4 linked regions of the Rhinolophus ferrumequinum genome follow. Each later gene encodes a partner of the first gene's protein in a complex. Links are inferred from orthologs where the notes say so. Each region holds a gene or a part of one and is shown in the gene's direction. Other genes may lie near its edges.

What was found.
Region 2: TAF8 (region 1) and TAF6 share a complex: the UniProt entries of both Homo sapiens proteins name them as parts of the TFIID basal transcription factor complex. The link is inferred for Rhinolophus ferrumequinum from reciprocal best matches to the Homo sapiens genes TAF8 and TAF6.
Region 3: the proteins of TAF8 (region 1) and TAF10 are in contact, whole or in part, in a crystal structure (PDB 4WV4), measured with the Homo sapiens proteins. The link is inferred for Rhinolophus ferrumequinum from reciprocal best matches to the Homo sapiens genes TAF8 and TAF10. Residues at the interface, in NP_612639.2 of Homo sapiens: Arg33, Thr36, Leu37, Val40, Ser43, Leu44, Leu45, Ala48, Gly49, Phe50, Glu51, Ser52, Ala53, Glu54, Ala56, Ser57, Thr60, Leu61, Met64, Leu65, Gln66, Tyr68, Ile69, Ser70, Ile72, Gly73, Arg74, Ala76, Lys77, Cys80; in NP_006275.1 of Homo sapiens: Pro115, Leu116, Phe119, Leu120, Leu123, Tyr126, Thr127, Thr129, Ile130, Pro131, Val134, Thr135, Tyr137, Tyr138, Leu139, Ala142, Gly143, Phe144, Glu145, Ser147, Asp148, Arg150, Ile151, Leu154, Ile155, Leu157, Ala158, Ala159, Gln160, Lys161.
Region 4: TAF8 (region 1) and TAF11 share a complex: the UniProt entries of both Homo sapiens proteins name them as parts of the TFIID basal transcription factor complex. The link is inferred for Rhinolophus ferrumequinum from reciprocal best matches to the Homo sapiens genes TAF8 and TAF11.

Annotation. Positions count from the first base shown.
Region 1 is NC_046286.1:11,715,974-11,723,049, forward strand, and holds the start of TAF8 (transcription initiation factor TFIID subunit 8), read left to right. Parts: upstream 1-4,057; 5' UTR 4,058-4,062; coding exon 4,063-4,107; intron 4,108-4,512; exon of another isoform or gene 4,513-4,667; intron 4,668-4,927; coding exon 4,928-5,084; intron 5,085-7,076. UniProt on the Homo sapiens protein: The TFIID basal transcription factor complex plays a major role in the initiation of RNA polymerase II (Pol II)-dependent transcription.
Region 2 is NC_046290.1:90,401,663-90,409,336, reverse strand, and holds the start of TAF6 (transcription initiation factor TFIID subunit 6), read left to right. Parts: upstream 1-4,652; 5' UTR 4,653-4,896; exon of another isoform or gene 4,897-5,334; intron 5,335-7,674. Other genes in the region: CNPY4 (protein canopy homolog 4), read right to left, coding at 913-1,082, 1,172-1,289, 1,777-1,899, 2,114-2,210, 2,309-2,435, 3,874-4,006. UniProt on the Homo sapiens protein: The TFIID basal transcription factor complex plays a major role in the initiation of RNA polymerase II (Pol II)-dependent transcription.
Region 3 is NC_046294.1:45,221,185-45,227,617, forward strand, and holds TAF10 (transcription initiation factor TFIID subunit 10), read left to right. Parts: upstream 1-4,520; 5' UTR 4,521-4,543; coding exon 4,544-4,775; intron 4,776-4,915; coding exon 4,916-5,070; intron 5,071-5,318; coding exon 5,319-5,383; intron 5,384-5,471; coding exon 5,472-5,586; intron 5,587-5,764; coding exon 5,765-5,854; 3' UTR 5,855-5,931; downstream 5,932-6,433. Other genes in the region: TPP1 (tripeptidyl-peptidase 1), read left to right, coding at 1-40, 1,209-1,329, 1,425-1,583, 1,749-1,874, 2,001-2,141; ILK (integrin-linked protein kinase), read right to left, coding at 6,164-6,313. UniProt on the Homo sapiens protein: The TFIID basal transcription factor complex plays a major role in the initiation of RNA polymerase II (Pol II)-dependent transcription.
Region 4 is NC_046286.1:4,993,865-5,000,885, reverse strand, and holds the start of TAF11 (transcription initiation factor TFIID subunit 11), read left to right. Parts: upstream 1-4,020; 5' UTR 4,021-4,125; coding exon 4,126-4,296; intron 4,297-7,021. Other genes in the region: ANKS1A (ankyrin repeat and SAM domain-containing protein 1A), read right to left, coding at 2,495-2,682. UniProt on the Homo sapiens protein: The TFIID basal transcription factor complex plays a major role in the initiation of RNA polymerase II (Pol II)-dependent transcription.

The DNA of each region.
Region 1 (7,076 bases):
TCTACCAATGAAAGGGAAACTTGGCAAGGGCCCCAGAACTTTCCCCACCCCAGCCCTCCCTAAACTTCCTCTTGTGGTTTCTCAAGAGTACAACCTGTTCTCTCCCCAGCCTGAAGAGTGCCTGGGGCAGGGGGCTGGGCGCACGGAAGGTTCCACTGCACCCCACCTATGATGAGAGAGGAAGGCGTGTGTGTGTGTGTGTGTGTGTGTGTGTGTGTGTGTTGCAGCCTGGAGGCCTGTCGAGTTCTCAACTTTCACATCCTGCTTACCAGTTACCTTGGAGGCCACCCTCTACCCTCCAGCCTGAGCATCAACCCCTGTTCCCCAACACACACCCCTCTAACAAATATAGATGGTAGGGGGTGGTTTGACTGCAGGCAAAGAGACACAGCGTCAGGGTCTCTCCAGATCTGTGCAGAGGGCTCTTGGGAGAAACCCAAACGTTCAGAAAGGTAATGGGAAAATGGCTGTAATCTATGGAATCTCTGCCCCATGGCCTGGTTTGCATCACGGGCATTGTCCCAGCCTGCCTGGAGGGGTGAGGTCGGGTCCACAGACGCAGCTTTGCGATGCAGCAGCTCTGGGGAAGAGAGGTGAGCATCTTAAGATTGCTTCCACTCCTTGACGATCTTCCTTACTCAGCTAAGTTGGATTGTTCCTCCTGGAATCTAGAATATGAGGATCTCTGCTATTCTTAAAGATTTCCAACAAGAGAGGTGCCTTGGTTTCCCAGCTACCAGATTCTGGCACATCTCATCTATGTTGAGTTCTTTCTTGCATCAAACCTTGGTGTGTTCCTCTTGCTGACTGAAGCTTAGGAAGTTCATGCGCTGACACACACACAAGGCCTTTAGGAGAGGATACCAGCCAGCTCTGTGCTGTTACCTCAACCCTATTTCAGGCCTTCTGGGGCTCCCTGTGAACAGCACCAGCACCCACGCTCATACAGGACGATGGCGTCCCTTTTGGAAACTCCTAAGCCCTTGGTTCAAGTGCACATTCTATGTGGTCAGTCAAGGAGGCAGGCTTGCCTAGTAGTTAAGAACAGAGCCTCCTAAGTCATGTGAGTTGGCTTTAAACCCCAGCTCTGCCATTTATTTCTCGTGTCCTCCTTAGGAAAATTACTTCTTTTTGCCTCAGTGTCCTCATCTATAAAATGGAGATAATCCTAGTGCTTACCTCATAGGACTGTTTGGAGGATTAAATGAGACATTACACCTAAAACATTTAGAAGAGTATCTGACAGCACCATTAAGCATTAGCTAGTATTCTGAACCCTTGAGGGAAGGAACAGGGAGGAGAAGGTCCCAAGGTCTGGGCATAGACTTGGATCCTGCTGGAATTCTCAGAGATGCTTTTGATTCTAACTTCCAGGGGGATAGAAGCTCTGACTTGTTTCCCATTATGTCCCCAACATCTAGCCTGTGCAGACGGTATGACCACAGCAGACAGTTGCTGAATTCATAAATTGTTGTCAGTCATCTCTCAAAGGAGCCCAGGAACTGAAAGAGCAGAAAAATCTGCAGAAAACCAACGGGAGAGCCAGTTCTCTTCATCCTTGTTGGGTCCCAAAGAGAATTGCGGTGGGGGGCACAGAACAAGATTTGTTAGAAGAAGCAGTCCTAGAGTCCAGGGCTGGGGAGTGGGTGCCCCAAGATTGTGTGGACTGTCACATCACTCCCAGGTGGACCTTCCCAGCTGCATCTAGCTGGGAATTTCTGGGTTCTTGGGGACCAGCCCAGAAACTTGCCTTCCCCTGAATTCATCATGTTCATTCCCACTTCTTCATTCCTAGACAGGGGGTTAAAGAGAGCAGGAAGTGCTTTTGGGTCCCTGTGTTACCCCAATGCCCAACAACACAATCAGGGTTCAGTACCACTCTGTGGAATGAGTAAGTGTCCCCCAAGACTTCCCACCACTTCTCTGCCTGGTGACCATTCATCATTCAGAACCCAACTCAAACATCCTGTTCTCTCTGAAGCCTCCCAGCCACCTGAGCTTGGAGACTTATCTCTGTTGATCATGACGCATACTAGCTGTTGGGTACATCACATCATCGCACCCTCAGCATCCAATACAATCCCAGACATACAGGTGCTCGGTGCTTGCAAATGAATATATCAATGCTCCCTTAGTAACAGCAACCACTTGCTTCAGTTATTCCCCTTGTGGACACATGAAAAGACACAGAAAAGGCTAAGACCATCACTTGTGTACCCATCAGACACCAAACACTGAGGGGTCCCTCCTTCCAGTCTCCTCCTCTGGCCTCCTTCCCTGGCCCTGGCTGGCAAGAGAACCTGAAGGCTCCCTGCCCACACTGCTTCTGCCTTCCTACCGGCCCCCACCTCTATCTCTGAGATCTAGAAAACCACGACAGCCCACTGACTTTCCAGGATCGCGGTTCAGGTTGGAGGGGGCTGTGCAAACATGTAGAGCACTCAGGGCTTTGGTGGGCTTCTCCGCCCCTCAACTACATGCACAACAAACAGCTCACTGAGAATATAAGCCAAGCTCTTGGGGACAACCAGGAGGTGACGAGAGCGCAGTGACCTCCTCAACCCACCCACCTCCGACCCCTACCCCGGTGTCCTGCCTAAGTTTGGAGGCACCAACGAAGGGGGAAGATGCTGACCCCCATTATCTTGGCTTCTCCAGCCTTCAAGCCTACCTCCTTGGCAGGTGAGCCCCCCGAAGCACCGATTGTGGCCGCAGACACTCTCTCCTGCCGCCTCTGGCTTCTCTTTTTGGGGAGATGGGGGTTCGCAACCTCCAGCCGCAGGGAGGGGCGTGCACCACTCCCCCAGACGCCCAAACAGAACCAGTCTCCACCTCCCGAGGCGCCGCATGTTTACAGTCTTCGCTGAGCCGCGGATCGAGAGTTTAAAGCTGGGCAGGAAGTGGGGAAGAGGGGGCGGGGGAGACAAAGCGAACTGGATGCTCTGTTCAGCTAAGGTTTGGGCCAGGACTCCCGGTGTGGTCCCCCGCCCCCGCAAACCCCGCCCCCCGTGCCCTAGGCGAGAGGGCAGAGGCGCGCCCCCCAGACTCAGGTACGCGCGACTGTGCAGGTGCAGCGCAGGTTTCCAGACTCCTGCCTCCAGGCGTTAGCCGCTCTTCGACGCGCTACCCAGGAAATAAACAACAGGAGACGCCGTTTCTTGACCTTGCTATACGTCTAACACCGCCACAGACCCTTTGTATTAGCTCTTTCCCCCCTTCTATCAATCACACCCCCGTTTCACAAAAGAGGAAACTGAGGCCACAATGCAGTTAGGTCCTGCGCCCCTAGTCCCACAGCTGGCGCGTGTTAGAATTCAAACCCATCGTCTTCGTCCCGCCAGGCACCCGCAAACCGAGAGGAATAAAGCCCAGTTCGGTCAGCGCAGGAAGAACCCATCCGGAGGGTCTGGCGGGCGAGTGAACAGGAAACCACAGGCACCGCAATGCCCTGGGAGTGAGGCGGGCAAAGGACAGAGCCTCTCGCCCGCCTGCCCCTCTCGTCTGGCCCCGCAAATACCCGCGGATTAACTGAGGGCGAGACCGCAGCTGGGAGCAGTGGAAGACCTGGACTAGGTGGTCGTTAGGCTCTGGTTGCAAGTGGGGCACTGACCGGCTGCAGAGTCATCATCAGTACAACACAGATTTCTCCAAATTTCCCGCTCAGGAGAATCACCTGGAGAGCGCAACAATACTTATTATCAGGCCTCCTCCCGCAGACAGTGAGTCACCGGCACTGGGCGGGACCCAGCCAGGTGTTACTAACAGTCAAGTTCGGAGCGTTCCAGGGGTGTGTTCTTTATGAGAAACGATTTCATCTTGAAATAGGTGTAAAAACCGAGGGCGCATTTTCCCGGCCAATTCCGAGGCTCACCGGGGCCACATCAACCTGCAGCTCACTGGAAGTCACGTGAGTCGGGTCAACTGAAGCACCCCCGCCCCCAAACGCCTCCTCACTGAGTTTCAGAAAGCCCAGAGGGGCGCACGCCGCCCCGCCCCCTCTCCCCGCCCGACGACTACAAATCCCATCCTGCCTTGCGCTCGCGCACGTTACGCCAGAGCAAGATGGCCGACACGACGGCCACTGCTGGGGCTGGCAGCTCCGGAACGGTAAGGGCGGGAGGCGCGGGATCGAAGCCGAGAGAGTCTGGGCGTTCTGTAACTTTTCCTTAGGCTGGGCAACAAGCTCATACCCAGACGTCCAGCCCCACTAGGAGCTTCGAGTGGAGGAGGGTCTTTCAGGCCGTATATGCCCCCCCTCCTTGGTACTTGGCGGCGGCCTCCTGAGTTGGTGGACCTGTATACCGATTGGCTCGTTCCCTGTTGGGGGTTGGGAACCCGGAACACCTCCTGATTGGTCCGAAGAGCCCCTTTAAGCCTTCTTATTGGCTAGCCAAAGTTGGGAGGGATTCCCGTTTCAAAATATTTAGCTTTCCTACTTTGCTGTTAAACCCTTTTACTCTCTTCAGCATCGTGTGTTCTTGTTTTAATTTTACTTAAATGGTGTGGAGACGGGAGGAACAAGAGAGAGATCTTTTTTTCTGAGAGATAGACAAATCCCATCGTGAGTGGTTTAAAGAGATAATTTTTTTCTGGGAGATAGGCATGAATTCATTCCCGTCATGCGTGTTTCTTCAGTTGTATATTCAGATAATCTGCTAAAATAAAAAGTAAGAAACACTCATTTGTGGTATTGGAATTTTTAAGTTTTAAGTAAGCAGAAAGGCTATCTCTAGAGCCCCTTGGATGCTCAATTATTACTCAGTTGGCCAAGATCTATAAGTCTAAACATAAGAGCTATCCCATTTAATTAAGCACTGATAAATATTTAGCAAAAGAATCTTTACTTGGCCATTGACGATATATGAATTATGTAATTGCATTCTTGTCCAGTGAATGAAATCTCTCTTTCTGGGCTGCTGATTCACAGAGATCAGGAGGTAAACAGTCCACTAACCCTGCTGATAACTACCATCTAGCCCGGAGGCGAACCCTGCAAGTGGTTGTGAGCTCCTTGCTCACAGAAGCAGGGTTTGAGAGCGCTGAAAAAGCATCTGTGGAAACGTTGACAGAGATGCTACAAAGCTGTAAGTACCAGGAAATAATAGGCCGCCTTCACGTCAACCAAACATTTGTTCTGTGTTCTGCGTTGTGATAGTGTTTGAGAGGATTTAAGAAAAAGAACACAGTAAAGTGATTTATGGGCTTTAGAATCAGATAAGACGGGTGTAAGTCATTGCTCTGCCACTTAATAGCTTGGGCACGTTGCTAAACCTCCTGAACCTTAATTTCCTCATTTGTGAAATGGGGTGATAATTTGCACCTCATAGAACTGTGAATGTAAATGAGGTGTATACTTAAAACATTCAATGCTGGGAATATTGAAAGCTTTTGATGACTTGTAGGTGCTGTTATTATTGCTATTTGTGTTCTATATTCAGAGAACTTACGGTTTTGTTGGAGTCAGGATTAATTCCCATGCCATCACATGATATACAGTATTTTGCTGTATTTTGCTGTGTATAATGCGCTCCCGTATATAATGCGCACCCATGTTTTTGGCCCAAACTTTCAGGGGGAAAAAAACCTTCCGTTTTAATTTTTTTAATTCAAATCGCTATTTGTTTATATGTAGTTACTCTTGTTTTTTGTATTATAAAGGAATTTGAGCACTTATTTTTTAATGTCTTATGGTACAAGAAATTTTATGTAACAAATAATTACAAAACACAAAAACAGAGACAAGGTACAAGCAATTTTATGTACTGGTAATAAATTTACGATATTTAAACATCATAGAAGGCGAAGAACCCTTTGGCATTGCAAGTTCGTCATACATTCAACAAAACCAATGATCATATTCTGGGTATTATTTTGCATGTGGATATCGTTATTGATTTCTAGAGTTACATTTTTGACTCATAAGCATAAATAAAAGAATTAAAACATTTACGAGTAGCTACGGAATTAGTGGAGTTGTGTATAATGCACATCCTTATTTTCCCCTCACAAATTTGGGCAAAAAAGTATGCATTACACATGGCAAAATATGTTAATCAAATGCTATGTTATGTGATACAAAGAGTAAGGGTGAATAAGTTTTGTAGAATGCGGGGAAAAAACACTTTAAAAAGGAAATGTCTTGAGGGTTAGGAGCTAGAATGGTCTCACATAGGCTTTTCTGCACGTACAGTGTATTTCCTTATTTGGGTCTTTTTTGGGAGTAGGATGGGATGAGGGATGGGTGTATGTTAGGTGTTTTAGAAGGATCAACCTTTATGAATGGAAGTGAGAGAAAGGTTTAGGCAGAGGGAGAAGTTGAACTGCAATGCAGGCAAAGAATTGGCCAACTCATTGGGGAGCTTGGGTGCTAATTGTCCATCAGGTATCCCACATCAGATGGAAAAGTCTCTGCCTTTGTACTTTGGTCTTGATCAGTCGCTACATTTGGGCTCCCTCAGGCAGGGCAAGATCTGGGGTGAGGTGGCTCTTTGACATTTGGAGTTTTAAGTACCAAATGTTTGCCTAAAGCAGTAATCTCAAACATTTTGGTCTTAGAACACCTGTGGACTCTTAAATATTGAGAACCCTGTGGAGTTGTGTATACATGGGCTCTCTCTCTATATATATAGCCACACTATAAAGAAAACAGAAATTTTTAAAACAAGAATGAACAAGCATACGATCAGTTATCCATCAGAGCCATGATGTCATCACAGGTCCTATAGCCACTAGAAAACTACATGAGAGAATGAGTGAAAAGTCAAAGAATGTCTTTATTTTATTATGAAAACAGTTTTGACCTGTGGACTTTGGAAGGGATTTCAGGAATGTCTACGGATTCCCAGAGCACACTTTGAGAACTTTTGTCCTAAAGGAATGGACTAATAGTTCCCAACAGATAAGAATTCAGTTCTTGGAAAGATTTTGGAATTCAGAGTTTAAAGGTCCTTGGAGTTGAAGCAGTTCTTTCTCATACTACTGGACAAGAGGCCTTTTTTCTCTCAGAAGAAACGGTTGCCACGGAAGGGGATTGAGCTGAAATAGTTGTGTTAGAAAGCTATGAGTATTAGAACTAT
Region 2 (7,674 bases), on another chromosome or scaffold:
GGCGGGAAGGATTTTGTCCTGTGCGAGCTGCCGTAAATCCAATTTTTGCGGCAGGGGTGGCACCACGCACAGAATTTGAATCCCCGCGCAGTCTCAGACATGCGCAGGCCGGGGTTGCACTGACCCGCGGCTAAATACGGCCCTCAGCCGTGTTTTCCCTACCAGCCTCCTCCGGTAGCAGCTTTACGAAGCACTACTCGCTTCTAACCGGAAGGCGGCCACCAGTCCTATTCTCTGGGCGCTGCCACATCGGCCAGCTAGGTATGCTGTGTGCTCGGCAGTTGTTTTGAAACTTTGGACCCAGATGATGTGTATTTTTTTAAGTTTACTAGCGATATAGAAAATTTGGCACCTGTGAAATTATGTGGTGGGCCCTCGGTGAAATTAATACTTAGTACATAAAGTATCTACTCCACCTAATTTACCAACATCACCCCATCCCGTCCAGTGTCCCCTCGGTTACAGTTTGTTGGTATGTAACCTGGATGCAGGCGGTGTTTATGTCGTAGAGAATACTCTCTGGGTCTAAAAAACGGGCAAAGTGACCTTCCCACGGCCCACAACTCCTATGCCATCCTGACCTCTAGTGGGCGGGGGGCGGGGTAGTAGTAAAGATATTTAAAGGGGAAAGCCTTCAATACTGTCACCACACACACCTACAATTAAGGAGCTAGTCAGCAAGCAGAGTGCTCATCTGTTGGGGTTGGGCTTTCACCTACTGTACACACCTTTCTTCCCATAGCCATGCTGTACCATCAGGATCCTGCCTGAGACCAAATGGGAAAGAACAGCTACAAGCTCTTGGTTGGATCACTCACAACATCACCCTTAAAACTGGGAGGCAGGGAGAACTCAGACTTCAGAGAGTTCTTCTCTGTGAGCCCTGCCCTTCCTGGGGATCAACAGCAAGGGTCAAAGATCCTCTGGGTCGTGCTTGGAGTGGCCTGGTGTGTTGGTCCTCTCTTCTTCCTCTTTCTCCTCCGCCTCCTCCTTCTCCTCTTGTTCTTGCTCCTCCTTTCCTTCAGTCTTCTCTTGCCCATCGGTGATCTTTTCCTTTCCAGTCCAAGTTTCCTGTAGACACCCTAGGTTAGGTAATAGGAAACAATTTAGATGTGTCCTGGGGGTAGGGGATGTTGTCACCTGGCAGGAAAGGGCCAGCCCACACACTTACCAGTTTCAGCAGCTGGAAGCACATGACCTTCACAGAGAAAATGCTGTAGGGGCTGCTCCTGATGGTGGAAGTACCAGTCTCCCACCACGTCTTCAAACTCCTCCAGCATCGTCTCACACTGGTCAAGTAGAAGGGTCAGAAGGGTATCTGCTCAGCTGAACTTTGGAAACCCTCCTCTTTGCTCTTCACTCCCTGTCTCCCCACCCCACCTTAGAGAGGCAGGTAGCCAGAGGTTAAATTTGGCTTACTAGATGTGTGATCCTCATTCATTCAACAAACATTTACTCTGCCAGGTAGGTTATTAATAAACTCTGACTCTCAGCTCCTTGCTTGTAAAATGGGAAATGGTAACAAGGTTATTGTGAGGTTAAAATGAGGCAGCATCTGAAATGTATGCGGCTTTGAATTTAGGACATAGTAGGTGCTCGGTAAGTGGTAGTATATATTATTAGCCTCCATTATAACTTCTTGGTATGCTCCTGCAATTAATGGCAGAGTCCTCACTCTCGCCCCTTCTCCCTGCTCAGGGACAGACCTCCCTCGGGTCTAGCACCCCTTTCAGGTTCCCTTCTCACCTCCTTGGTCAGTGCAGTATCCTATCTCACCTGCTTCTTGAGGAATGTGACCTCCACACTGGGCTCATCCCACAGCTCCACAGGGATCCCCAGATCCACCTTCACCCCCTTCTGCACCAGGCCTTTCAGCGTTGCCATGGTCTGACTCTGCCCCTGAGAGATGGGAATTTGGGATCAGCATAGCCTACTACCCACCTCTGTCCATTTCCACCATATCAGATTTGTCAACTACTGGAGACTTGGGTGAATTCTTGAGGGTGAGATGAGGGAGTCTTAACAATGGAGGGGACAGTCAAGAGCTGGGGGAGGTGGGCCCCAGAGGATACAGGTCTGAGAAGTAGGATCCTCCCCTGGGGAAGAGTCTGACCTTGGCATATCTCAGTGAGCCCTTGCGCTCAGCATGAACACTGTAATCCAGGATCCGCTCACATAAATTCTCCAAGGCCTCTTCTAGCCTTGTCTCTCTGTGGGAAGAGGAGAAATAAAGACTCCCTGAATATTGTACGAGCTCCCAGGGCTCCTTTGGGGGTTTGAGGGTGGAGGGGCACCAAGAAGGACTCACGAAACGCTGTAAGGGACATGTCTTTTCCTCTTGCCTGTGTCCAGCACCTGCCCCAGCTCCAGCACCTCTCGAGATCGGCCAGTGCGACTCAGCTCTTCCTGTAGCTCCAGGCTCAGCAGCTTACACACTAGATGTTCAAGGGGACGTGAGAAATAAACAAACATGCCAGCAACTCATTCTGCAGATGAGCAAAGGCAGTAGAGCATGATGGTTGTAAGTGCAGACTCTGGAGCCAGCCTAGCTGGGTTGCAATCCTGACTCAGCCACTTAGTAGCTGTGTGACAATCCTGCTGTGCCTTGGTTTCTTCACCTCTAAAATAGAGATAATAACAGTACCTCTTCATAGGGGTGTGGTCAGGATTAAACAAATCAGTCTATGGAAAGCCCTTAGAATAGTGCCAGGCATACAGTGAGCACTGTATTAGTCTTTGCTGCTGTTCTGCAGTTATTTATTGAGCTCCTTCTGGATGCACAATAGCAATACAGAGAGCAATAAAACCCACGATCTCTATCCATGGGACACTGCCAATATTGTTGGGGACAGATAAAAGACAACAATATGGTGTGAAGGACCCTACACTAGCGGTTAAGACCAAGAGACATAATCTCATTAGAAAATGCAAAATTCATTCAGTGGTCACATACTGACTTCCTACTAACCTGCAATTTCCTTAAGGCGAGCATTGCATCTGTTCCACCACTGTCTTTCCAGCACCTGGCATGTGACCTGGCATGTGACAGGTCTCAAGAAAGGGAGTGGCCTATACAGATGTGCCAAGTGAACTAAACACAAAGGCAAGTAACAAAAGTGCCTAAAATGTGCCAGGCACTATACTAGAATCTGGGAGACACAGGTACTCTCCTTCCCTCCAAGGGCTTACAATGTGGTTGGAGGTGATATATAAGAAAGAAGACTTCAAAAGGAGGTGACATTTAAATTGGATCTTGAAGAACCACCTACAGAAGGAAGAGGGTCATTCCAGGCAAAGGGAAAAACGTCAATGGCACAGAGGTTCAAAAAGATAAGGCAAGCTCAGTGACCACTAAGTTCAGTGTGGCTTAAGCATGGGAACTTTGGGGATGGGAGTTGGGGTACGGAAATGAAAGAAAGGTGGGGGCATACAATAAAGAGACATATGCTCTGCCTTAAAAAATGTGGGCTGTAGTCTGAACACAGCAGGAGGCCTCCAGAGGTGTTAAAACAAGGACTGACCGAAGGACTGACAAGATTGTGTATATGTTTAGAAAAACTGACAGAGGTGGGGGGAGAAGAGTGGGACCAAGTCTTGAGGAACACTGATACTGAAATTTAGGTTAAGGGTAAAAGAATTCAGGGAAGAAATTAATGTCAGGAAGGCAACAAACTAGAGAACCACAGCACTCAATGGTCCAGCTCTGAAGTGCCCCCTCTGAGCTGGGCTTCAAACTTCATGCAGCCACAGAAGATGCTGTCTGCTGTAAAATCCATACAGTACACAACCTTTGCAAAGCCTCAAACGTATGGGGAACCTCTCCTAGCTGTGTGGCCTCCTCTTTTATTTATGAGCTAGGGCTGACTTACTCACCTCTAAACCCCCTCAGGAGAACGTGGGACCTGTAATTTGGGAGCGTCTCTGCCGGGGTGGAGCAGAGATGTCCACAAGGTATGAGCGTCACACCACGCTCCTGCAGGCTCTCCAGATTTAGGTCCAGTGGCATGGGGGAAACACACACACACACTGAAGATGCTCAGTAGAGTGGGCGGTCCTGCGCAGATAGTCCCTGAACGAGAATTCCCACAAACCATTGGGTCACAAGCCAGCCAGAAAAAGCGGGCCCTTTCTGGGTGTCTCATGGGAATTATAGTGCCATAATTTTGGGGTAGCGCTATGAGTTCCCTCCCTTGATCCCATTCGATTTCCGCCAAACTCCACCAGAACCTTCCTCGGATCTTTAAGGAGGTCGAGTGACCCACCCGTCACGGTCCATCTGGTCCGGCCCAGACAAAGGACTGGGGCAGAGGGATGCAAATAGGGGCTACTCCCTTCAGATACCTTCGCATTTGCTGGGCAGGCGTTCTGTGTCATCGTCCTCCTCCTTCGGCGTCCCAGCCCAAGCACCGTACACAGCCAAAATGAAAAGCAGCATTCCCAACCGCACAGGTCCCATGACAGAAGTGCTGTCCACAACCAACCACCCTTTGCCTTCAAACCAACTTCGGGGAGGCGGCGGGCCCTTTAAATTCCAAGGCTGTCAGCGCTAACTTTAATCTAGCCTAGCACAGGAGGCGCATGCGCAGTGCCGGCCCAAGAAGGGGTGGGGCCTCTGTGTTCAGGGCATCCCCACCTCAGTTTTGTGGCGCTTCGCGAAGGTCCTGGCCGCCCGATAGTGAAGGGATAAACAGAAGTAATTATAGCAGGGGGCTGTGCTCTTTACACGTAGACAGCGGAACAGCGTTTATTATATCGTTTCAGGCCGTGAGCCTAGGGGACTTACTCCGATTCGGAGAAGGGGCGGTGACTTGCTCCCCATCTCTGCCAGGACCTGCTCCCGGGAGGGGGCGGGGCCAACATGGCGCCGAGCGCCGGGTGAGCGGCGCTTTGGCTGCGGTGAGAGTCTTTTCCTGAGCGGGGCGCACGGCTGGTGGGGGTGGGTCTGAGTGGTACCTGAGAATAGACCCTATGACGGGCCTGTGTGGGGACCCGGAGGAAGACGGTTGGTTGTGTGTCCGTGCGCGTGGGTTCTGTGTATTTGCATTGGAGGGATGTTGGGGGATGAGGTGGGCTCTGCTGCTTCTTTCGCGCTGGACCCATTGCCTGGGGATCTTCGACCCACTTCCCTGCTGAGGGAACTACAAAGATCTAGCTCAAGGTCCTCCTCTGTGAAGCCTTCCTGCCGACTCCACTGACCTGAGGGGCTCCTTAGGCCGTCACGTGATTTATGAGCCTTTACTGGCAGACGGTACCGCAGGGTATTGAAGGATTAGTGGGAGTTCGCCAGGAAACTGGGACACGACCGCTTCTTGTATACCCGGCTCCAGGAACAGAGTATGTGTTGAATAAATGTGTTCCCCGCAGATAAGACTTACAAAAGTGGGAGAGGAGACCTGGGATGGTTTGAGAAGAACCAAATTCTCTTTCGCCTCTATCCTCTCACCCCTCCAGCACGCCCCCACCTACACCCTGCAATCAGTCCTAAACACTTTTGACATTAGTCTTCCTAATGCCAGCTTCAAGCAAGCCCCTTTACTTTTTACCGCAGAATAGATTTTAAAACTTGGGCCTGTGTCTTCTTCGTCTTAATAGTGGTAGTGAGTATGTATTGAGCACATACATCTCTAAACCTCACAATTCATTCATTTATTCAACAAATGTGCATTATCTAAGGCGTCTCAGGCAACAGTCTGTGGTCTTGGAATATATCAGTGGACATAACAAAGATCTATGTCCACTCGGTGCAGGAGGGGATGTGTGTGGTGGTGATAAACAATAAGAAATACAGTATATGTTAGATGTTCAATGCTCCGGGGCGGGGGAAGAGCAGAGTGTGTGTGGGGGGGTGCAGTATGAAATAGGCAGCTAAGCTGACATCTGGGGAAGAGCATTCCAGGCTGAAGGAACAGCAAAGCCCATAAATCAAGAGCATGCCTGTCAGTTTTGAACAGCAGGCAGCACAGTGGGGCTGGCTGAATCAAGGTGGAAGAAGGAAGGAAAGGAGATCAGAGATGTAATGGAGAGGACAAATCATGCAGGGCCTTGTAGACCATATGAAAATTTTGGATTTTACTCGATGGCAAATGGGGAGCCATTACAGGGTTTGAGCAGATAAATGACCCAATCTGATTTATAATTTGACAGAATCACTCTGGCTGCTATATTGGGAATAGATGTAGGGAAGCAAGGGTGGAAGCAGGAAGAGCTTATCAGGAGGCTATTGAAGTCACCCAGATAATAGATGCTGGGGACCTGACCGTGTAGTGGGAATGGAGGAATCAGTTTGGGTCACCTGGTGGACTTGAAGTGAGGCTTACATAGAGAGTGAGCTCCTGCATGGGTGATGGCACTACAAAGACAGGAAAGCTGAGGCTGGAGGAGGGGGGCGGGGGAGATCAGGAGTTGTTTTAGTGGAGATTTTAAGGAGACAGTTTGACATACAAGCCTGGAGCTAGGAAGAATGCTCTGTGCTGGGGATAAATTTGGCCACCATCAGCCTATAAGGGATACTGAAAACAGAAGTTGAGGTCACCAGCGAGTAAGTATAGCTACAGAAGAAGACTAAGGATTGCATTCCAACATTAAGCAGATAAGAGGAAGAACCAGTAAAGGAAACCAAAAGGGAGTGGGGTAGGAGGAAAACCAGGAGAAGGTAGTGCAGCAGTGGAGTAAAAAAAGTGTTGTCAGAAGAGAGTAGTCAGCTATGCCATGTGCTGCTGAGAGAGTAAGGAAGATGAGAACGGAGAGTGGGCCTCAGATTTGGCAATGTGATGCCTCAGTGATCTTAAGCGGTTTCAGGGACCCAGTGGGGTCAGAAACCTGATTGGAATAGGTCCAAGAGAGGAGAGAAATTAGAAACAGAGTTAAGACAACTCTTTTAGGAAGTTTTATTGCAAGAAGGAACCAAATATGGGGTATAGCATATAGAGAAAGTGGAATGAAGAAAGTATTTTTTTAATATATACTTTGGTGAAAAGACACATAAAACTTACCATCTTAACCACTTTTAAGTGTAATTTAGTGGCATTAAATACATTCACTTTGTTGTGCAACCTTCACTATCCATCTCCAGAACTCTTTTCATGTTGTAAAACTGAAAGTCTACCTATTAAACAATAACTTTCCATCCTCCCTACCTCCTTTTGACTTTGAGTTTGACTAAGACCCTGACACAAGTGGAATCATACCATATTTGTCCTTTTGTGACTGGCTTATTTCACTCAGAATAATGTCCTCAGGGTTCATCCATGTTGTAGCAGGTGTCAGAATTTCCTTCCTTTTTAAGGCTGAATAATACTCCACTGTACATATACCACTGTTTTGTTTTTTTAAGATGGGAGAAATAACTGCATTTTGTAGGCTGATGGGAACGACCTGGTAGGTTAAGAAATGGATGGTGCAGGGAGATGGGAGAAATGCTGGAGCAAAGCTTGAGTTGATGACTAGCATGAACAGTTTATACCGTGTTCCCCGAAAATAAGACCTAGCCGGACCATAAGCTCTAATGCGTCTTTTGGAGCAAAAATTAATATAAGATCTGGTATTATATTAGACAAAACACAGTCTTATTTTACTATAAGTAAAATAAGGTCTTATATTAATTTTTGCTGCAAAAGACGCATTAGAGCTGATTGTTTGGCTAGGTCTTATTTTCGGGGAACACGGTAGTAACAG
Region 3 (6,433 bases), on another chromosome or scaffold:
CTGGAAGACACCAGTTCCGTCCCAGCTTCCCTGCCTCCAGGTAAATACCCCAGCCCACCATGTATCTGTGACCACCAGCCTTTCATTTGTGACCTCATGATCTAGAGCCTTTGCCTTGACCCTATCAGGTGTTCCTGTGGCTCAGCCTCAGCTTTACCACCCTGGTTGCTGTACTCCCCTCTTCCTGTAGGTCCCAGGCCCCTGAGTAGGACACAGCTCCCTGAGTAGGACACAGCTCCCAGTGTTCCTCTTTCTTAGTCCCCAGGCATTCTGGTGGAAGATTTGGTGGGTGTTCTGTAGGGAAAATGTGCAGTCACCTCAGGCCACCCTTGAGGGCTCAAAACCTTTTACTCATCCCCATGTGCATGCTTCCCCACAGATTCCAGACCCTCCCGCAAGACCCAAGCCAGACTCACCCATCTCTACATGTCGCATCCAGCACAACACGGGCAGTGAGGGTGTGAGAAGGGGCGGCTTTGGGTTAAGTTTTTAAGAAAGAAACAAACAGAGACTTAATGCAGTTTAAATCTCAGAAGGCCAGGGGTCTCACAGTTCTGAAAGACTGGAGCCCAGATATGAGCCGACTGGAGGTTTTTATTGATAAGTATACAAGGGAGTAGCAGTGTTTTTGGCACAGTCTGTGAGACTCACTTATCACGTTATAGAAACAACCCAAACCAATTATGTTGATCTTCAAACAGCCGAAGCAGAAAGTCCTTGAGGTGAGGTATGCAACTCCTTTAAGGGACATATATCACATGGTGAAATTGTTTCACAGAGCTGAGCAGAGAGAGCTTAATCTTATCACTCTCAAGACTTTTCTCCCAATTAGGTGAGAGGGAAAAGTCAGAGTCAGCAGCGGCTTTTCCCAGGCAGGGGGGAGTGGGGCAAGTCCCCTTCCCAGATCTTTCTAAAGCAGCTCATTGGGGTCTCCATGGGGTTCCGCCTAGCTTGAGTTGTCCCCCCCGCCCCGTGGGGAATCTTACTCGTCATTGGCTGCAAACCCTCTTTTGGAGACTAGATAGAGAGACATGAGCTATAAAACATTGAGATAAATAACGTCCCAAAAAGGCACAGTCTCACAGACTTTTCTTTCCATAAGGAAAGACATGGGGGGACAGTCTGCTAGGCTGCTGTGTGACAACATCTACACATTTTGGAAGTCCCCTTGGGGCCCCTATAATCTGAGTGCTGTTTTCTGCCCTCAGCCCCTATGTCACCACAGTGGGAGGCACATCCTTCCAGAATCCTTTTCGAGTCACAAGTGAGATTGTTGACTATATCAGTGGTGGTGGCTTCAGCAATGTGTTCCCACGCCCTTCATACCAGGTACGTGTAGTGTAGGTTTGTGTGGATAGATGGAGGTGAGGAAGGGTGGGAATCCTCAGTTCAGGAGACAGTACTCACTCAACAATGCCTTTCAGGAGGAAGCTGTAACCCAGTTCCTGAGATCCAGCCCCCACATGCCACCATCCAGTTACTTCAATGCCAGTGGCCGTGCCTACCCAGATGTAGCTGCACTCTCTGATGGCTACTGGGTGGTCAGCAACCGTGTGCCCATTCCATGGGTGTCTGGCACCTCGGTGAGAATCAGCCTGGCTCCCAACCTTTAGGAACTACCTTCAGCCTCTACCCCTAAGTCCTTGCACCCAGAAGCCCTAACTCCTCAGGGACCTCTGATCCTTTCAAATATCCTTCCCCAAAAGTGCAGTCATTCTGAACCCCTAACTTCTACTTGCACCTTGCAGGCCTCTACTCCAGTGTTTGGAGGGCTTCTGTCCCTGATAAATGAACACAGAATCCTCAGTGGCCGCCCCCCTCTTGGCTTTCTCAACCCAAGGCTCTACCAGCAGCATGGGGCAGGACTTTTTGATGTGAGTGTGGAAGGGATGGGTGTGGACATTTTCATAAGAGCATAGGATGGGACTATTGGGTGCGGGGGTGTAGTCTGTTAGTACTGGTACCAGCAGGCCCAGATCTGATGCTCACCCTCTCCCTAGGTCATCCGTGGCTGCCATGAGTCCTGTCTGAATGAAGAGGTGCAGGGTCAGGGTTTCTGTTCTGGCCCTGGCTGGGATCCTGTGACAGGCTGGGGAACACCCAACTTCCCAGCTCTGCTGAAGACATTAATCAACCCCTGACCCTTTCCTGTCGGGAGAGTGGGCCTGTCTCCTGCCCCACAGCTTGTGGCTTGTTTCCTTATTCTGCACTATTGGAAATCCTGCTGAACCCTCACCTGTTGACTGCTGAGAGCTTATCCCCCTAACCTTGAAGTGCTATGAGCATGACTTGACTCCCAACCCTAACCCTGTTCCATCATACTCAGGTCTCCCTACTCCCGCCTCAGGTTTCTCAATAGATGCTATCACCAGTGCTGTTTGAATGCATCCCTCAACACTGCCCACCCCCGCACCATGTCTTCTTTCTCTGCAACCAGGCTTTTCCAAAGTGTTGTCTACACTGTCTGTGCACTCATGAATTTTACTTCATGTTCACTCCTCAATTCATTGCACTGAGACTTCTGCTCTCACTTTTGTACTTTCCTCCCCTGACATTGAAAAACAATGGCCTCCCTGCTGCTTCCTCCAGTGCACACTTCCCAATCTTTGCTTTATGGCCTTCTTTCATAGTTGCCCACTCCCTCTCCTTCCGTAGCTTCCAGGGTTTAACTTCTTTTCTGACCACCCCCTTCGTCCTCTTTTTCTGCTTCCTCATTGAATATTGGTGTACTTCATTTCTCCATCCTCAGTCTTTTGCTCTTCTCACTCTACCTATTGCCCCTGGAACAAATCCGTCATGATTGGCATCCACAGCCATCATCATCTCACTACGTCAGACTTTCTGTCCAACAGTGATTGATACTTCAAAAGGAAGATATGTGATACTTGACACTTATCTCTCTCCCAATCTCAATCTGTTCTCTTCTTTTTGGTAAATGATACTATGCTTCTTCCAACCAAACCAGAGACCTGGGTGTCATTCTAGACTCCTATTTCCTTCATCGCCCACCACCACCACCACCTTCAATTAACAAGTCCTACTGACTTGCCTCTTAAACACATCTTTATGCACAGGTCTGCCGGTTATATTTCTTATGTACATGTAGAACTCATTTACTTATCTTTATCTCCACTACTACATTAGCTTAGAGCCGTATTCTTTCTCCTCTGAATTTTAAGGCCCTTGCAAAAAAATTACCTTATTTCCTGCCCTTCCCTAAACCATCTTCCAGAATAAAATGAAAATCTCATCAGGTCATTTATTTAAGATCCTTCAAAGATTACCCGGTAAAGTTCAGGCTTTTTGTCATGACTCACAAACCTTATTTCTTCCTTGCTATTTGTTCCTGAGTAACAAATTGTTTATCCTCCCCTGCTTTCCTCCCATATACATTCTTTCACTTGTGCTCAAGATATTCTGTGCCCTTAACACTACCCCTAACTCCTCTTTGCTTGGTTGATTTCCAGGATTCTTTCCAGACTCAGCTCAGAATCCATTATATTCCCTTGTGAACCTTTTGGCTCCCTACTGGTTGCTTTTGGTATAGCACAAAAATCCTAGATTTTTGAAACCAAACGTTTGATTCTTGTTTCTGATACAGACTAGGGGAGAGCCTTAGGGGCCAGTAAGTTGATCTCCCTGAGCCTTTTCCTCACTTGTTAAGTGGGGATATCGATACCTGCCTCTCATAATTATCAGTGAATAATTAAATGGAATAATGGTGATAAGAGTGCCTGACACACAGAAGTAGGCAGCAGGTGTTAGTTCCCTTTGTCCCTTGCACTGCACACTTTGTCTACCTCTAGTATTGTAACTCCTACATAGTATTGAAATTGCCAGTTGACCTGTTTGCCTCCCTTTCCAAGACAGTTGGTGCCTAGAGGACTAGAGTCTTGTTTTACTTAAACTTTGCATTCGCAGGCCCTAGCTCAGGTTTGGCAAATAGGAATTAAATAAATGTTTGCTACATTGAAAACCTCACTCTTTCCCTCGCTGTGATTTTTGCATATGTGTTTTTACTCAGGCTGAAACACCTCCCTCCGCATCTACAGCAGCACTGGGCGCGCTCCTGCAGACTGCACTTCTCCGGGCAGCTGGCGGGGAGCGGGGCGCTTTCCACCTCCACTACGAACCTTTAAAAGGCTGAATAAGGGAACTGGAAAGCATGCAGGCTGGCAGATGGTCCAACCCTGTCGGACCAATGAGCCAAAAGAGAGGTCTTTAGGTGGCAGGCTGAAAGAGGGTCCCTGATCCGCAGAAGAGTCCTCGACATTCCAGGATTCCCAGCCCTGCAGAACCACCGACGAGTACGGAGCGGTGGGAGGTGGAACGTCCGCGGCCAGCGCGGTTCTCCAAGGTTTGGTCTCCGCCCCTCGGTCTGTGTCATCTAGCGGGCATACAGGCAACCAGGAGGAGAGAAGCCTAGGGGAGAGAGCGGTCATGGCGTGGGAGGGGCAAGCGCGAGGAGTGACGTCACTCGGGTGTGTGCGTAACGTGAGCGGAAGCGGAAGCGGTTCTGTTCGCCGCCTCTCCCACCGGCTAGATGAGCTGCAGCGGCTCCGGCGCGGACCCCGAGGCGGCGCCAGCCTCCGCCGCCTCGGCCCCGGGCCCTGCACCCGCGGTCTCGGCCCCCGCCGTGCTGCCCGCCGGCACCGCTGCGGAGAATAAGGCCAGCCCCGCGGGGACAGCAGGAGGGCCTGGGGCTGGAGCCGCGGCAGGGGGCACGGGACCCGTGGCAGCGCGGGCCGGGGAGCCGGCCGACCGGCGCGGGGCGGGTGAGGGCCGGGACGGGTGAGGGTGAGGGCAACGTGTTTCTCGGGGCTCCTCGGCGGGGGAGGGCAGAGGGTATAAGGCAGACCTAGCTGAGGCCCTGCGCCTTCCACCTCCGTGTCTCAGTTTGCTGGTTCTCCTCCAGCTGCGGTGTCGGCAGGCGGCGCGGCGCCCCCGGAGGGGGCCATGTCTAACGGGGTTTATGTGTTGCCGAGTGCGGCCAACGGAGACGTGAAGCCGGTGGTGTCCAGCACGCCTCTGGTGGACTTCCTGATGCAGCTGGAGGATTACACGCCTACGGTGGGCTTCCTGCCAGAACAAGGCTATTGGCCCGCTGTCACGCCAATTTTCCTCCACACCACCTGGATTTCCAGTGTCGTCTTCTTGTGTTTCCCTCCCATACTTGCTCTTGTGACTTATCCCCTCTGCCCACCCAAACTGTAAGCTTCCTGCGAGTGTCAGGCCTGTCCTCCATTTCCCTCACCTTTTCACTCTCAGCCTGGCAGTGCATAGGGCTTACACTAATAGCTGTCTAATTGATCTCTCAGATTCCAGATGCAGTGACTGGTTACTACCTGAACCGCGCTGGCTTTGAGGCCTCGGACCCTCGCATGTGAGTAAATTCTGGGCAAGTTCGAGAGTTGGGTGCTTGTGTGGATTTGCTGTCCATTTCCTTAGGTTTTTTTTTTCTCTCTCTCTAGAATTCGGCTCATCTCCCTAGCTGCCCAAAAATTCATCTCAGATATTGCCAATGATGCACTACAGCACTGCAAAATGAAGGGCACAGCCTCGGGCAGCTCCCGAAGCAAGAGCAAGGTGTGAGGGGAGGCTCATTGAATCAGTAATTACCTCCCAGCAGCGGAGGCTTAATTTATCCTGAAACCCCTTTCGGGAAACAGCCCTAGGGGAGGTGAAAGACCTATTCAGGGTCACCCACCTGGGATTGAAATCTGGGATTCCTGTGTTTAGCTGGTGCTCTTCCCTCTTCCCTCAGGACCGCAAGTACACTCTAACCATGGAGGACTTGACCCCTGCCCTCAGCGAGTATGGCATCAATGTGAAGAAACCACACTACTTCACCTGAGCCATCCAATCTAAATGTACTTGTCTGTCCTCTTGTCCCCACACCAGCCTGTTTTCATAATAAACTTTATTGTGACAGGCAGGGCTGATCCCTCCCATGCTGGGAGACACCATGTGGCAAGTGACAAAGCTGAGCCCAGCCCCTTTTGGGGCCACAGCGGTAGGGATGGGCACAGGGGACGGGCCCCATGGCTGGGGTAGTACCATGACTGGAGGCAGGGGAGGCAACCAGAGGCCCACAGCTTTGGGGAAACATAGTCCCCTAACAGTGTCCCCACACCTCTGGAGTTTAGGCAAGGACTTTCCAGTCCTACTTGTCCTGCATCTTCTCCAGGATGGGCACAATCATGTCAAACTTGGGCCGCTTAGCAGGGTCTTCATTCATGCAGATCTTCATGAGCTTACACACATGGGGGGAAATGCCTGGTGGGATGGTTGGCCGAAGGCCTTCCAGTGCCACCTGTAAATGTAGGGAAAAACAAGGTGGGTCTCAGCACTCCAATCTCATGTAGAGAGATCTCTAGCTCTCAGGACAGGATTACTATATATTTGAACAAATGTGGGAAAATTCCAGCCCCAC
Region 4 (7,021 bases), about 6.7 Mb from region 1:
GGGGGGGCGGGGGAGGGATCATAAGTAGATGACTAGATGAACAGATGAATAAATAGATGAATAGACAAACACACATGTGGTGTGGAACATCTATATCCACTGCGACTGTAAGCTCCTATTCCTGCCAGCTTTACTTGGTCACTCAAACAGCTGGACAAATGTAAGCGCAGTTGGCAATACTAGTGGGGGTAGGATATGGCAGCTAAAGCAAAGGCCCATTCTGAAACTGTCATTCCGCAGCTCTTGCTAAATAGCCCAGGGTCCCCGAGGTGGGGAGTGTGGGCATCGTGGACCTAACCCTCTATTATTTCCAAACCTAAAAAGGCAGGACGTGCTGACCTAGGGGTTATTTAAATGCATGGTCTCATTTGCTCAGAAATCTTTCACTAGGTTGAACCAGAGTCACCTCTAATTAATGACACACCTAGTGTAACAAGTGCCTGCAGATCCTCCCTGCCCGTAGGAGTCACAGGGACGAGAGCTGGGCCAGCTCTCAGGCCATCAACCGTCTACAACAGACACAGACGCAGGTCAGGAGGAGTGAACTCCCTTACACAAGGGAATGGAGACACCACCTTCCACTCTTTATGACACACTTATTAACATAAGGCCCAAAGTGAAAACATGGTGCTCAACAAAGATTTCCTAGTCTCGCTTAACTAACTCCTCAGCCGAAGTTCCAACAGTCTCTGAGTGAGAGCACTAAGAGTAACTTGGCCTGTACTTGAAGGCAGGAGACGAAAGTCTCTCACTTCAGCAGGATACACTGGGCGTTAAGGTCCCTCTGGCAAACCTCCAACTGCTACATCATTCAACTCATTAAGAGACAGGCAACTCCAAACTTGCATGGTCTTTCTCTCATCTCTCAGACATCAGAAGTGCAGAAATGTCCAAGGAATCCGGGGAAGATTCAAAACCCAATTCACACATTCAAAGAACATTTATTCAACACCGGTGAGTTGTCGGGCACTGATCTAGGGACTGGGAATATAAACATGAGAAACACTAAGTCACTCTGAAAACTGGAAGTTGATCCATCCATCATCATTTCCCTTAATCGTGCCCAACCGGTCAAGGCTCCAGTCAGGAAGTTCTGGTGTCCCCCTCACACCAAATAAGGCTCCTTTTCCCCTTCCCTGCCTGCGATCACGGGTGTGCCCACCTGGACCACTCTCACTCTACTTCACCAGACGAATCCTCACTTCCTTCAAAACCAGCTGAGGTTCCTCTCTTCCTGGAAGCCCTGATCTCCACCTCATCCCAAAGTGATGCCTCATTTCTCTGAACTAACAATTACGGTCTGAGTACCACCATCAGTTTATTTAGAAATGTATCGTTTTGATACTTTTATTTACTCAACAAATCCTGAGTACCAAATGTGTGACAAAATTGTCTTACGGGCTGCAGAAATTGCAGCATATGGTTTGCCTCCCCCAAAGAATTCCTAAGGAGAGTTCTTCTCTTAAACTGCCTTTTCAAATCTTCCTGTAGAGAGCTTGGTTCCTACTCAATGCTTAATACCTAACAATTTATTAGAGCCTGAGGGTTCCTTCCACCAAGCTTACCCAAATTGAAGTTACATAAACTAATGGGGAACAAAACCAAACCAAGCCATTTCTAAATGAACTTCCACTTCTTAAAAACCTCAAAAGAACAAGGAAGGAAAAGAAAACAGGCTATGAAAGTGCTGCTGAACCATCACATTTTACTCACTGACAATCCCCCCTCCAAGCCACACAGAAGTGACCTTCTTCTCTCAGTCTTTACAGCTTAGATTCAAGTGTTTATTTTAACAACAGACCTTGGAAAAGTTTAAAGCCTCCTTGGATAGTTTCCTAACCAAGTCTTTCTAAAGCTTTATTTCTTGATGAGTAAACCCCCTGATGCGTCCTGCATATGCCACTTAACAGACTAACCCAATGAGGTTCACTACAAGGAACCAGAATGTGAGCCTCAAGCACCAGGGGAGCTCAAAGAACACTTTAGACGTGATAAATCCAGAGACAATTTTAACATAAACAACAAAAGCCAGATCCTGCAGAGCCCAGTGGAAGGTTCCAAGTTCCCAGAAGAAGGAAATCAGGGTAATTTCCTCCAGGGGAGCCGCGAGATTCTGCAAGACGCGGGTGTTTCTGCAGGAGGTGAGGGAGATTTAAAATATACATATATTGCTCCGAAGTGGCGTGTTAGACACGACAGCTGGCACCCTATCGCGGGCGAGGGTGAAGCCGGGCTGTGCCATGCGGCGGAGGCAGCCACCTGGGCACTCCCACCATTCTTCGCAGCCGGGTCAGGACGCGAGACAAGAAGAGCCCGGCGCCGCTCGGACCCGCACCGGCGACCCTCGCCCCGTGGGCCGCCTGCCTTCGCCCCGGGGCACCCGGAAAAGCCACCCCACCCGGGTCTCAGGACCCTCGATCTCTCTGGGGACCCAAGGGACAGACGGTGGAGATGGGCTCTCGTGGCGGCTTCCCGGCCCCGGCGCGTTACCCACCTGAGCAGACTGGAGAGGGGATGGCTCGAGGAGCCCAGGCCGCCGCCGCCGCCGCCGCCGCCCCCGGAGCCGCCACCGCCGCCGCCGCCCCCGAAGCCTGAGGAGAGCCGCTTCCCGGACAGCAGCTTCTCCACCGCCGGGAGGTGCCCGGTGCGGGCCGCCTCCAGCAGCTCCTGCTCCTTCCCCATCCCCAGGGCCACCGCCCCCTGGACCCCCTTCCCGGGGCCGTCGCCGAGCCTGCTCGGTCTCCCAAACTTTCCGTCTCCGGGCAACGCACCCCCCAAACCGGCCGGGGACACCACCCCCCTCCCCCCCGCCAGGCCCCCCCACGAGCGCGTCACTTCCGGGATCCGGCGTCACGCGTCACCGCGCCCCCGCGCCCCGCCCCCTTACCCACCTAGCTGGGCGGGGCTCGGCGGTTAACGCAGGTGGCTGTGGTCGGTGCCTCCTGGACTTGGCTGAGCCGAGGTAGGCCTCCGGGGGCGAGAGAAAAGCGCCCTGTGGGCGCCCGCTGTACAGGTGGAAGGGAACAACCAGGGCCCACCTGTGTGCGCCTCCAGAACTGCGCTCCTTCCCCAAAGGTTTGGGAGCCCCCAGGACAGGAAATACGGTAATGCGTCCAGGCAGTGTAGAAACAAAGAGAGAAATACGGTAACGCGCACCTACATTTCCTAGTCCATTCTTTCCGCACGCATAAATTAAATATGTAATGAGTGTGGGGACCTAATGACACACAGGTGAATAAAATGCCCCGTACCTCAGTGAGGGAAGACAGGAAATTTTTAAAATAGAAACATCTCCACTTCATGCTCCCAACCCCTGAAATGGCTCCTAAAATGAAACAGTCAAAGGAAAGACCTCCCTCCGGATGGAATTTGTTTCCTCTTACTTTTGATAGTATTAACCAAGCCGACATGAAAAGTCAGGTTAGTGAAACTGACCCTGACCTTGAGTACTGGTGAAGTGTGAAAATTATTTAATTGGGTATAAACTATGTCTGTTTTGTTTCTGGTACGAGCACCGTTCCTGGCTGAATTAGGTTCTCGAAGTAGTTGTGGATTGGGTAAATTCTGTTCAAGCTATGACTTTAAGGTGCTTGAGGAAAAGAGAAATGCTGGCAATTCAGTATAAACACAGGCCCGCAGACTCTGTCCAATTGAACTGTGTACTAGGAGGCTGAGTCCCTGCCTAAAAGTTCACCAGGTAGCCGCACGCCACGACACGCGCGTACCACGGAACTGAGTTTTCTCCCGTCCCCAAACTTTACTCTGAGGAAAGCGGTTAAGGAAGGAGTTAACGACATTGCGTTTTCGGAAAGGCGGGAAAGAAAAAGAAATCCTTCGATAAACAACACAGCACTTATTTACAAAGGTTGGCTTCCCAGGATGGAAGATGCACAAACTAAACTCCCTACCCTTAATTTTCCCTCTCCCCACCGCCATCAAATCTGAGTTAAAACGGAGCCTTGAGGTCCTCCAGGAGCGCCTCAAAATGACCCTCCGAGGAGCGGTAGGGGTGATGTCATCGCAGCGCGACGACAGGAAGTAAGCTTCTGGGCTGCTGTGCCGCGCTAGGTCCCGGGCTTCTGAGAGGGACAGCACCGCGATCTCCTCGCCCTTATTCTGGAGGCGATGGATAATGCCTGCGAGTCGCCCACGGAGAAGGGTGGGGAGACAGGGGAGTCCGATGAGACAGCCGCTGCTCCCGGGGGTCCCGGGGCTACTGACACGGACGGAATCCCGGAGGAAACTGACGGGGACGGAGATGGGGATTTGAAAGAAGCTGCGGCTGAGGAAGGAGAGGTAGGCAGAGAGGTGTTGACGAGGCTGGAGGAGTACCCCGAGATTGTGTTACTGGCTGCTCGACCACCTTCTTGATCGATCCCTCCCAAGCGAAGTCGAACTCACCAGGACTCCCTCTAGCTCTGCAATCGCGCAGGCGGGGGGGTGGTAGGAGGAGACAAAACTATAGTGTCCGTTCGGTTCCGGAGACCCAAGCACTGGCTTAATATTTTTAATCCCTGCCCTTAGCGATTAAAGCTACTTCTAAGGGAATTCTAAATAGCCTGTTGGTTTTACTGGGGAGGAAATTGGGATCCAAATTCACATTGAGAGGGTGCAAGAGCTAGAACCCAGGATCCCTAGTATCCCTTTCACCGCAATATGGTTTCTATTAAGATGTTGCTTAAGCATAACTTTGTTATTTATTATAGGCTGCAGAGTCGTTAAAGGGAGATTTTGAGAGAATTGCTGGTTTAGTCACGTTCTCCCCCTCTTGGGACATTTAACTGCTACCTCTGGGGGCCAATGTCCAAGGGTCTCTGTAGCATAAACGCGCGAAACCCATCAATTGTGCCACCCAAAAGCTCCGCAGTGTTGTTACCTAGCTGAGCATCCGTCAGGGGACCAGAATCTCAGCGTTCTCAAGGTTCCATTTCTAGAGATAGAATCTTGGGGTCTTAGAGCCATGAGTGAGGGACTTCAAGAGGTCATGGAGAAGGACATTGGATTAGAGGGAAACAGCCTTTCAGCGCATAAAGTTGCATCAAAATAGATAAAGCAAGAACTTTTAGAAAAAAGTGATTAAACTATTTTAGAAGGAACCTTTAAAATGGATCTCAAGGACAAAAAGGATTTGAATAATAATTAGCGTACATACAGAAATTTGCACCCAACAGAAGATGAAATTATTTTTTTTGATGCTTCTGAAACACTTTTAAAAATTGCACATACACCAGACCACAAAGAAAAACAAATTCTTAAAAGTAGATATCATAACGGGCCACATCCTGTGCGATACACTTGAAATTAACGACAGAAAACATCTCCTACCCCCACTCTTCCCCCAAAAAACTAACACCTGGACATTTTAAACTGTTTTCTAAATAACCCATAGATTAAAGAAATTAACAGAGAACACTACATCAAATTCTATGAGGTTTGACCAAAACCTTTTTAAAGAAAAATTCGGGGGCCTGCCCCGGGGCTCAAGCGGTGGGAGCGCTGCGCTCCTAACAGGGAGGTGGCTGGTTCCATTCCCACAAGAGCCAGTGAGCTGCGCCCTCTACAGCTAAAATTGTGAACAACAGCTCTCCCTGGAGCTGGGCTGTGGTGAGCAGCTGGAGAAGGTTAGCTGGGCCTGCTGCTGGCTGCTGTGTGCTGCCATGGGCTGCTGTGTGCTGCCGTGGACATCGTGAGCTGCGGTCGTGGACATCGTGAGCTGCTGTGGGCTACCGTGTGCTGCCATGAGTGGCCGGCAGTCAGCGTGAATGGCCGGCAGCCGACGAGAGCTGCCATGAGCTGCTGTGAGAGGCTGACCGATGACCGGCAACCGACTGCCTCAGTCCCGGGGAGCACAAGGCTCATAACACCAGCAGGGTCCAGGGAGCTGTGTCCTACACAGCTAGACTGAGAAACAGCGGCTGGAACTGGAGTGAGGGGGGAGTAGGGAGGGGGAGGCGGAAGAAAGGGGGGGAAAAAAAGAAAAATTCATAGCCTTATGTATTTTTTTTTTTTTAAAGGTTTTATTGGGGAAGGGGAACAGGACTTTATTGGGGGAACAGTGTGTACTTCCAGGCCTGTTTTTCCAAGTCAAGTTGTTGTCCTTTCAATCTTAGTTGTGGAGGGTGCCGTTCAGCTTCAAGTTGTTGTCCTTTCAGTCTTAGTTGTGTCGGGCGCAGCTCAGCTCCAGGTCCAGTTGCCGTTTTCTAGTTGCAGGGGGCGCAGCCCACCATCCCTTGCGGGCTGACCTTGTGGTTGAGAGGACGCCCTCCAACCAACTGAGCCATCCGGGAGCTCAGCGGCAGCTCAGCTCAAGGTGCCTTGTTCAATCTTAGTTGCAGGGGGCGGAGCCCACCATCCCTTGCGGGACTCGAGGAATTGAACTGGCAACCTTGTGGTTGAGAGCCCACTGGCCCATGTGGGAATCGAACTGGCAGCCTTCGGAGTTAGGAGCATGGAGCTCCAACCGCCTGAGCCACCGGGCCGGCCTTAGCCTTATGTATTTTTATTAACAAGCAGGAGAAATTGAAAATAAGCACCCAACTTAAGAAACCAAGAAAAAGGAAAAATAAACCAGAAGAATGTAGGAACAAGGAGTTAATAAGAATAAAAGCAGATGTTAATGAATTAATGCTTGCAAAACATAAGAAATGATAAAGACCTGGCTATTTGAATGTAAATGCACAACATTATGAAATAAGAAAGGGCAATACACACTGATATGGAGATCTATAAAGTTATAAAAAAAATTTCAATGTTCAAATTTTAATTTTCAATAGATTTGAAAATCTAATAAAAACGGCTTATTTTTAAGGAAAATGTAAATCAAAATTAAAGCACAAAGAGGTTAGAAAACTTGTATAAATCAATAACTAGAGAAGAAATTGAAAAAGTTGCTAGACATAAACTATACTCACTCTCACCTACCCCTCATAGTCCTTTATGAGTTTAAATGTGAGTTCCTTTTTACGGAAAACAAAGGTTAAATCCCATTAATGAGGATTTAATATTGGTTTGTTGTATCCTT